3 linked regions of the Xenopus tropicalis genome follow. The protein of the gene in region 2 interacts with the protein of the main gene of each other region in a biochemical or structural test. Links are inferred from orthologs where the notes say so. Each region holds a gene or a part of one and is shown on either strand. Other genes may lie near its edges. The genes, in order: bcl2l2, bad and bcl2.

Evidence for each region.
Region 1: the proteins of bad (region 2) and bcl2l2 interact in a biophysical measurement, tested with the Homo sapiens proteins (4 studies listed by BioGRID and IntAct, with this or other methods). The link is inferred for Xenopus tropicalis from reciprocal best matches to the Homo sapiens genes BAD and BCL2L2.
Region 3: the proteins of bad (region 2) and bcl2 form a complex in vitro, tested with the Homo sapiens proteins (5 studies listed by BioGRID and IntAct, with this or other methods). The link is inferred for Xenopus tropicalis from reciprocal best matches to the Homo sapiens genes BAD and BCL2.

What each region holds. Positions count from the first base shown.
Region 1 is NC_030677.2:139,702,363-139,705,282, reverse strand, and holds the end of bcl2l2 (bcl-2-like protein 2), read right to left. Parts: intron 2,514-2,920; 5' UTR 2,503-2,513; coding exon 2,086-2,502; intron 1,923-2,085; coding exon 1,773-1,922; 3' UTR 603-1,772; downstream 1-602. UniProt on the Homo sapiens protein: Promotes cell survival. Blocks dexamethasone-induced apoptosis. Mediates survival of postmitotic Sertoli cells by suppressing death-promoting activity of BAX.
Region 2 is NC_030680.2:35,248,622-35,252,378, reverse strand, and holds the start of bad (bcl2-associated agonist of cell death), read right to left. Parts: upstream 2,369-3,757; 5' UTR 1,864-2,368; intron 1-1,863. UniProt on the Homo sapiens protein: Promotes cell death. Successfully competes for the binding to Bcl-X(L), Bcl-2 and Bcl-W, thereby affecting the level of heterodimerization of these proteins with BAX. Can reverse the death repressor activity of Bcl-X(L), but not that of Bcl-2.
Region 3 is NC_030682.2:85,817,495-85,821,251, forward strand, and holds the start of bcl2 (apoptosis regulator Bcl-2), read right to left. Parts: upstream 2,535-3,757; 5' UTR 1,962-2,534; intron 1,603-1,961; 5' UTR 1,329-1,602; coding exon 582-1,328; intron 1-581. UniProt on the Homo sapiens protein: Suppresses apoptosis in a variety of cell systems including factor-dependent lymphohematopoietic and neural cells. Regulates cell death by controlling the mitochondrial membrane permeability. Appears to function in a feedback loop system with caspases.

The sequences.
Region 1 (2,920 bases), on a different chromosome or scaffold from region 2:
TACCTAGGCTAAGTAGAGAATAGGGGTTTAGTGGCTTGCATGTCATATGTGGTGCGCAGGCTGCCCTGTGTTAATTGCCAACTGGAAACCAGGACCCAATAAGCTTACAGTGCACATGCTTCTAGTTGGAAATCAAAGCTTGGGAGCCAGCACGCCGGATGTGACATGGCAGCAGCCAACTCCACTGCACTACTCTACTCTACTTTCTCAGCCCAGGTACAAGGCAAAGGGGCAGATCACAGGTAACATTAAATGTGGTGGGGGACTTTTGCAGCAGGGTGGAGCACTTTTAAAAAGAGCCTAGGGTGGGTTATATACAGTACACTGTAATATTAATTACTGTGGTGACACTGTTTCTAATGGGGTGGAAATACAGAGTTTCAGGGTAAATGTGGCTAGAAAATTTAAAAAGTGCAGCAGCCAAGAGGGGTTACACAAATAACATCTATGTATTACCATGAAAGCCAAACTGACCATCAGCCATAAAGGGGGTTACAGAGAGCTACAATTGTTCACCAAAAACATAGCACTAATTTATAGCAAGTTTCTGCTATGTATAGATAATGAGAATAATCTATGTGAAATGAATGAGAAGAGAAGTCTCCTCAGCCAGGAATCTTTAATGCACAATGAGAACTTTGCCAGACCCTTCCTTTAGTGTTCTATACAGAGGAAATACAAAACACTACCCCCTGAATTATTTCTGAAGGAGGCTGTGTTGAGTTGTGCATCCCCACCCTGTTCTCTCAGAGCTCATTCTACTTGGGTGGGTTCAACTGCCATCTCGGTCCATGTATGAAGCAGGCTCTCCTTCATCTGCATTTATGCTGAGAGATGAATGACAACACATCAGGATGTTTGGGAAGGAGAGCAGTATCTGCTCCTATCCCTGCGAAGCTAATGACACTTTGGAGACAGCAGCAAGTCCAGAAATATGAGGAATGATGATCATTATCTGGGGAAAAACCAAGGCTTTGCTAATTGATTTTGTAATCAACCTTGTTTTGGAGAGTGATAGATCACTCAAAGAAGTGTGCTGCAGCTCTCTGGAAAACATCTACCAGTGAGCTGGAGGAACACACATGCAAATTATAGATTTGCAAAAAGTCACATCTCCAATGGCAAGTGAGCCATATCAAACAGACCGCAAATCTTCTGCTCTCTGCAAATAAGTAGTTGCCTAGTCGGGCTACCAGAGAGAAGACGACTCCTACTTCGTCAGGAGTTGTATATAGCATCACAAGCCAACAGAAAAAAGTGATAAATATCAGCATCATTCACAGAATCATTGCATCCAAGCACAATGTGCACACACATTTTAAAGTTACTGCTCCCATATCCAGAGCAACAACAGAGCAACAAAAACTAAAAACAGTCACGCTGTAACAAAGACACAGTAAATATTACACATACAAGAGAACATATAAATTCTGCATAGAACAACAGGCATAAGAGAAAAGAAGTTTGGACAAAATACAAATGCTGTACAGGGAAAGCAGCACAGGCAATCAGAAACGTAAACAAATTAAGCACGCTGCACACTTAATAAGAGACTGAGGCTCGCAAATACAAAGCACGCACACACCTTCACAAATACACCAGTCAGACTATAACAAAATAAGATTAACAAATAAAGACAAACAGAGAGAGAGAGAGCTGGAACTGAAATTAACACTCATGAGCACACACACCTCCTTCGGACTGGTTGTACATGAATAAACTGTATCAGGTAATTCTTAGTGTCTATTACTTGTCTGTTTTCTAAGTCTCTATCACTTGCTGGCAAACAAGGCTCCTACTGTCATTAAAGCACCCAGAGCTACTGCTCCAGTTAAGACAGTCTTCAGTGATGCCCAATTCCCCTCACGCTGCCTCCTGGCCTCTTCTATGGCACCATCCCCATATAGAGTTAGAAATCCATTCTGAGAGAGAGAGATGACAAAACAAAGAAAGATTAATCACTACTGTGTAAGGGATTCACAGCAGTCAGGATTGTAAGAGCATGCACTGCAATGTGGAGAGGAGTTTACTTTGGTTCCAAGTGAGGAACAAAGGCAGTAAGAAGAATAATGGGGAAATATTTACCCAGCCTCCATTGCTCTGAATCCAGTCTCTCAGGTTTGTCTCCAGATATGTCACCATCCAGTCCTGAATCCGTGGCAGAAGAGGGGACATCTCCTTGTTGACACTCTCAGCACACAGTGCGGCACCAAAAACAAAAAATGCAACTATACGACCCCAATTCACCCCACCTTGGAACAGGCTACCTGCTACTTCTGCAAAGCGTGCATATGCTGTGCCAGGGGTCACATGGATCTGTGTGGAGATCTCACTGAATGCTTGTCTGAATCTCTCTTCAAATTCATCCCCTGCAGCACGCATGGCTGAATGCAAAGAACAGGATGCTGCTCCTGCAGGCTCCGGAACTAGACTACGCTGGCATAACTTGTATCGCACAAAATCCTCTACCAAAGCCCGGGATCCTAGTTCAGATTGCGCCATCCAGCCTTGCTCTGTAACAAATACATAGGGCTCATATAAGGCAAAATATCAGACATATTACTATGGTAAAATGTTTAAGAAACATTTGATTTGGATAACATAGTTGTGACTTGAAATGGATCACAGCATTGAATATGAATATCACATCCTATAAGTTTCTTAGCATTCCGAGCACAACCAGTGCTCTTCCTCAGGGACAAACCAACCCTGTTTGGTTGGTTTGTCCCTGAGGAAGAGCACTGGTTGTGCTCGAAAAGTTGGAATTTATTCAATAAAACACTTCAAGTCCCTGTGTGTGTGTGACACTCTTTTTATTATATTTATTTTTGTTTTTGACCTGCACCAAGGGTATTTGGACTTGTATAGGGTGTGCTCCTCCCTGTGTACTATATTATATATATATATATATATATATATA
Region 2 (3,757 bases):
ATTTGCGCTTTTAAATTCAGTGGGAACTTTTTATGAGGGTGTTTAATTTACCTAGGGAAACTATATATAGTTTATTGGCTTCTTTTTCTTCAAGGACAGCCTATGATTTTGTGAATGCTTGCGTTATTCACTTCTGTAATGAGATATAGGACTACAAGAACCTAAAAAATGAAATCATTTTTCAGACTGATGACAATGATTGTAAAATATTTGGGAAGGAACATTGATTTTTTTGGAGGATGAATCTGGATTAAAAAGAATACAGAAAGTAGCTCTTTTTTTCTAGCATACAAAATTATATTTAATAAATTAAGCATTAAAAAGCTTCATATTGCCATGCACTGGATGGGACCACATCTACTGACCATAAAATCATGGAAACAACTGGTAAACCAGGCAATCCCACTAATTAATCTTACCTCAGAAGCGAGAGGAACACAGACTAAATTTGACCTGATTTGGACCCCGTGGATTGAAGCAGGACTGGACTGAACCTACATAACATGTACTATAACCAAAGTGATATGCATATCTCTATTTGCACATAGTATGGTTGTATCACTGGCCAACCAACTAAAACTAATGTATTCTGCAAATGTTTGGCATAAATGTCTGTCTGTTGTTAATAAAATTATACCTATATAAAAAAAAGCTTCATATTAAAGTAGGAAGTACAATGACCAATCACCACACCTTTTGTTTAGTGAATACACTCACTTGTTGCACTGTGCTACAGTGTTTGGGAGAGATTGCCAAGAGAGTGGATCTTCTCCTGATATGCCCACCTATGGGGTGGGTGATATCGGGCTAATTCAGTTGTTTGGCCCTAGAGCCAAACAATGGAATTAAAACAGTGGGAATAGGCGCCTTAGGTTCGTGGACCACATTAACAAGCCAATGTGGTCCCCGATCTAACAGAAAAATCAAATCTGCCCGATCGAGATCTGGCCCGTCGTTCATGCTAATACATGGGCAAATAAGCTTCCGATTCTGTCTAAAGGATGTATGGCCACCTTTTTAGTGTTTAGTCCAACAAACAAAAAGCTAAATGATTAAAAAAGGAACTGAAAATTGTGAATATTAGTTGTAAATTGCCTCAAAATACCACTGTCTACACAAAACTAAAGGTGAATTTAAAGGTGACATCCATACTAGCAGGCATCAGGTATGATTGGCTGAACTGAGAAGGTCAAACCAGACACTGACACTTTGGTTACACAGTGATATAGGCGGAAGTGGTCAGATAGCATAATACCTTACTGACAAGGTTATAACAACACCTTGAGAACAGTACTTATATGAACCTACCAACTTCCTTGTGCGCACACCTAAGTTCCCAACTCCTTGTCAGCTGGCTATAGTGCATACTAACGGGGTGGGGCCCTTTAACGAGAGTTTAAGGTGCTGCAAATGGCACCAGCAGCCTAAACAACAGGCTCTCTGGAAAGACAGATTCTGCTATGTGTTGAAAGCTATACTAGGGAAAATAGTTTTGTCTGTTAGTGTGGAGGAAACACAGGATGCAGATGCAGCGCCGTCTCGGGCTCAGTGCCAACCTGGGGCGGCCAAGGTGATGCCAGCCCCCCCCATGTTTTGTTTTTTTTTTGCGTTGGAGAAAGTTGATGGGGGCTGAATCACTAGTGCAGAGAGCATAATAGTGATCTCTGCACTAAAATTCCGATTTTTATAAGTTACCAGGAGTCTTTTTACCACCCCTGGCAATTTGTCGGGTGCTGCCACCTAAGGTAAGTTGCTCAACTTGCCCCAAGGTAGCAGCTCTCCTGTGTCCCACTGTGACGGCAGTAAGGGCTTCCCTTGGGTGCAGTCAGATGTGTGAAAGGCTGGGCTGGAAGCCCTACTTACTCTGCTGGAGTGCTGATGAGCTCACAGTTTAATCCCTGAAGTCGCCTCAGCTGCTCCACTTGCTCAATGGAACCCTAGCAGGCGGCAGCTATAGTAAATCATGGAGACACTTCCGAGTGCTGTGGAAACATCCAGCAACATAGGGACTCCCCAGTCCATAGACCTAACACAGACTCACAGCTAAATGGCTGGTTGCAGAAATCCCAGTGTCACTGGCATGGTAGGGGTTAAATAACTCGGTTCAGAAGGAACCCTGCTTCCTATTCTCACTGTAGCTCTCTCTCCCTGTCAAGATGGCTGTCCGGCTGCTGCACAGGCTCACACTGGCTGCTGATGCCTTGTACACACACACAAAACGTCCAGGAAACTGAAGGAAGCAACTCCCAGACGGCTGCACACTGCTTCCCCCTGGATTCTGATATTATCTCTCCAGCAGCCTCTGTCTTCCAGTACTGCTTTTCTCCCTGTCCCCTTGTTTTGCTTCCTCTTCCTGTTTTTCGGCTGTGTGGGCGGGACCCTCTGAGTCCTGTACTAATGATTGGCTGGAGAATTCCCTCCATGCTGCAAGGCTAAACGTGAAGTAGTTTCTATGCAAACTGTTGTGAAAGGTAGCACTGAGCACTGAAAGCATTTCAGTGCTCAGCAACCTTACACATACAAGACATTAAGGGCAATAAATCCAACAGATAAACCTCTCATTTCCTTACACGTTGGAAAAGCACACAGACAGCTTACCTGGCTTCTGCCTCCTGATGAAATTGGGAGTAGTGTGTAGTATTTTTGATCTGACTGAGCCATGAAAAAATAATAGCTTTTTAACTGCAAATGAAGTGCTGTGCATCACTGCAGTGAATTTAGTGTGTCTGTAGTGGCATAACTAAAAGTACTTTGGGAGTTTAACATTTTTCGTATATAATCATATAGTCAGAGGACATAATGGTGCACTCCACTAACAGAGTCAGGACCTGGGTGCAAGAGCCGTATGATCAAAGTATAGTAAAAGTAATGTCAGCAATCACAGGATTTAGAATATAGGTGTAAAAAGTCAATATTTATTGAAACATAATAAAAGGAACATAGCAAACCTCAATGTTTCACATTCAAGGTACACATGCCTTTTAAGTCAGTGTCCAAATGGCCTCCAGCTTCCCTTTTAGTTATGCCCCTTTGTGTGAGACCTGTTAATGCATTAAATATTTTGGAGTTATCCTGCTCTCTGTTTACCTGGCTTAAAGCTAACCCTTGCCATGGAAAATGCACCCAAAATACTCAGCAATAGGGCAGACTACAGACAGTAGACTACAAGGAGCACAATTGGGGCGCATGGCCGTTGACATATACCTCAGTGGTGTAAATATAGAGAAAGCAGACTGCAGTCTGCTTCCTATATAGTTGCAAAGTCTTCCCTCCCCAGCCCCTCTGATACTTGCAAGCGGGATGGGAAGACTTTATAACTATATAGGAAGCAGCCTCTGAAGATATTTTTGTGGTGGTGGGACTGGTGCACACTAGATATGCCACTGATATTCTCCATTTAGGGTTGCCACGTTTCTGGAGAAAATACCAGCCTTTGCATATTTTTACCTTTCTTCTCTTATTAATTGGGATCAAGGATCAGGAAATTATGTGAATTAGACACAATAACTGTGCAGTGTAAATGTTTTGGCACTATATAAACAAAGGGTAATAATACTAAATTGTGTCCTGCAATTTGTATAACAATATTTACATCTGCAACTGTAATTATCATCAGTTTTGTGTATTGCTTACGGGCAAAGTGAAGACTGGTTAGGTTAGTTCAGCAGTCATGCTTCTTCAGTTCATCAGGCAGTGACAAGTGCTACGTGGTAGTTTAATATACACTGGTCCTGAAAAAACAAACTTAAACTCTTTC
Region 3 (3,757 bases), on a different chromosome or scaffold from region 2:
TTCTCAACAGCTGAATTGACTTAAGTACCTTTGATTTGCTCGGAGAGAAAAGAAACCAGACACTAACTATCATTCCCTCTTACAGGCTTAACAGTGATGTATCACTCCAGGCTAGCAGTCAGTTGCCAATTTACCTAGTGTTTGGTCCCAGGCTACATTAGAACAAAAACTGAGTAGAGGAAGCTCTGTCTTTGATATCATTTAGCAAGAGTGACACTTACAGGCTTGTACAGCTGAGCTAAACTTATTAAAGTCTAATTTGACTCTTCTGAGTTTCATAGAGGCTCCATGCCTCAAGTTCATTTTGGTTCACTCGGTGCAGTCATGTGACCTTACTTGCCGTTAAATATCACAGCATAGGTCACTTTCTAGCTTCTTCACCATTAACAGATACCCTTTAAATATGCTACGCTTCCCATATCAGTCATTTTAATTCCTCCGGTTTTTCCCAAAGTATTTCATTCAAACATTAAAAGACTGCACAGCATGGTGAATCTTAAACATTAGAAACACATTGGGATACATATATATATACATGAGTATATACTTTTTAGATATAATAGGTACAGTAAAAATCATACCCATCCTCCCTGTTCCTGGATCCAATTTTGCAAGTGACTGTTTAGGTACTCTGTCATCCAACCCACAATGGAATCCACCAGAGGAGACATTTCTCGATTAACACTTTCCACGCACATGACCCCACCAAACTCGAAAAAAGCAACAATCCTTCCCCAGTTGACCCCATCATGAAAGAGCTCCTCCACTACTGTTGCAAAGCGCACCCTAACTGTGGATGGGGTTAAATGGAGGAGCCCTGAGATCTGTCTAAAATCTTGCTGATAGAGGCGAGAGAACTCATCTCCAGCTCGACTTAAGGTCTGTAGCACTGCTGGAGGGACCGGCTGCATAGCTGCTTCATCATCATCATCATCACCATCTGCTTCTCGACTGGCATCTGGGTTAACATTAAGATTTCTTGGTACAACGTTCAATTCAGCTAAGGGTGAAGCAGCAGGTGCAGACCCCCTGGGAACAGCAGGTGTATTGCCCACGAAGGTGGCTGGAGCATTACTTGGGGTTTCCTCATCTGAGGAAGCAGCAGCAGATGCGAGTGAAGATTGAGGTGGTCCACGTGAATCTGCGGAAGCAGCAGGCATTTCTCCATCATCAGAATAATTACTAATAGCAGCAGAAGCTTGAGGGTGCTCAGCAGAGACCTGCTGCCGCCCCTCTTCCCATTCATACCCCTTTTGAGACAGTTTATAATGGATATATTTTACCACTATGTCCCGGTGATCATAGCCTCCTCTCCTAGGATGAGCCATATTTGTCCACGGACTAATGGCAGGGGATTGGTGAAAAGATTATATTCGGTTATAAACCAAAATACTTCGCCCAGAACTACTCAAACAGCTCCTTTAGCTCTTATAATGTATTTGCTGTAAGCGAAAGGTCCTGCGGCAGCTCTTTCATTCTTTTGCTGTAAATATTCCTCCCCCTCTTCCTCCTTGTGGAGCTCTGTAGCTTTATTGAAATTTCCCTCCTAAAGGTGCTTTCATTGTTAGCTGCGCTTTTTCAAGGGACATTCCCTACTTGATCCTGAAACAAAAACAAATCAGCTTTAAAGCTGTGTGTGGGGTTTCCGTGTGACAAGTTTAGTGATGTGCATGAATCTAGTCTGTGAGCTGATGCACAGACATAATATGTGCATTTACATATACTAATGCGACTAGATACTCACAGCATCATGAACCCACTGTACTCCAGAACCACTAAGCACACATATATATACACCCACTTGTGTGTGCATGTTTAAATATCTTATTATAAAATGCTGCATAGAAAATAATACATCTTTTTCCCCGTGTGTATATGTTGATGTGATGTATATATTGAAACAGACATATACACATAACTTCTGTATACACAAGCAGAGAATAAGTAAGCAAGATACTCACTTGCTCTGCTGTTGGGTTTCCCTGTTCATCTGAATCCATGAAACAAGTTCCAGATATGCTGGGGTTATATTGACTTAAATCCTCAGGGGGAATTAAATGCATCAATGAAACAGTCCAAACATCGCATAAGCATCCTTGTGTAGGAAATGCTTTAGAGGCCACCCAGGCAACCCAGAAGCGCCAGTGAAAGCAAAATGCAGTTTTTTTTCCACCTCCTCTGACTGGAGATCCTGCTACAGTGTTCTGCTCACTCCCATTTATTCAGCCTCTCACACCCCACACACATATGCTGCTGCTCAGAAACGGCAAAAAAAAGTACTAATCCCTCTCATTTAATCCAGCACAGGAATAAACTCTGGCCAGTAAAAGACATTCTTGTAGATTCTTAAACACAGGAGAATATAGCAGAGGTGGTGTTTGTGTGTGATTTAGTTTCTTTTTATTGTCCTTGTTGCCTTCTTCATCTTGCCTCCGTGTAGCACACAGCGTGGCTGGCTGGAGGCGGGACACTGCTTGTCCGCTGTGCTGGGTCCTCCTGTGCTAGGACAGCACTGAAACCCTTCTACTTCTGGGCGGACTGATTTCCTCCTTTTGGTTCGTCAGTGCGCATGCCATTTAGTGTAGAGGCGGAGCGCCCTCTGCAGGTGGCGTCTCCCTACTGTGCGCTCACATTCAAACAAATGTACCCAAGCACAATTGTATTAGTATTTTTGAGATTTCTTTTCATTAATAACATAATTTCACAGCAAGATAACTTTTTATTTGTATTTTCCTTAAGTGAAACAGTGTTTCATTACTCAAAAAAGGATAGGGTGCAATAGGGGGTTTCTACTGGTTTTTCCTGCTGCTAAAACTGTTATTAAGCATTTAGGTTTGAATATTAGTCAACAGTGATGCCTTTCATTTCAAAATGATTTCTAATCCCAAAACAAGGGGTGATATTAAAGGGGAGGCTTACCTCAGTTAACTTTTAGTATGTTATAGAATATCCTATTCCTAGCAACTTTGGAATTGGTCTTCCTTATTAATTTTTTATACTTTTTGATATATTCGCATTTCTCATCTACATCTTTCCAGCTTTCAAATAGGGGTCACTGATTCCCACAGCCAAAAAATACAATTGCTCTGTGAGACTACAATGTTCTTGTAAATGTTACTTTTTATTCCTTATGGTTCTATTCAGCCCCTTTCCTATCCATATTCCAGTCCCTGTTTTAAATAACTGCCTGGTTACTAAGGTAAACAGGAACCTGGCAACCAGATAGTTGCTGAAATTCCAAACCGGAGAGCTGCTGAACACAAAAAATAAAAAATGAAAACCAGCTGCAAACTGTCTCAGAATATCATTGTCTATGTCATATTTATAGTCAATTTAAAAGTTAACAAACCCTTTAACTCCCTAAAGATGTTGGATAGAATACATTTTTAGGTATGCTACTATCTAAAAACAAAAGATTTCTGTATTGGATCATGGCCCACCACAGTAAGCATATTCTGTTAAAAAGGTAAAAGAGTAACAGCAATAAAGAAATAACTTCTAATTTGTGATAGATTAGAAGGGGTTATTTTGCTCTGTGCTCATCATGTATATACAGTAGGACCACTTTAACTTGTAACTGGCAACTGCCACAACAAATATTATTAAAATAGTTAGGCTGATAGTAGTAAATGTTTTTTTTGTTACAAACATAACAGCATCATGGTGGCACAGTAGCTGCAAAGCATACATGAGCTGTTTTTTTTTATCCATATCAACAAGTGCTGTAACCCCTTTACTGCCAATCAGATGAAACTAA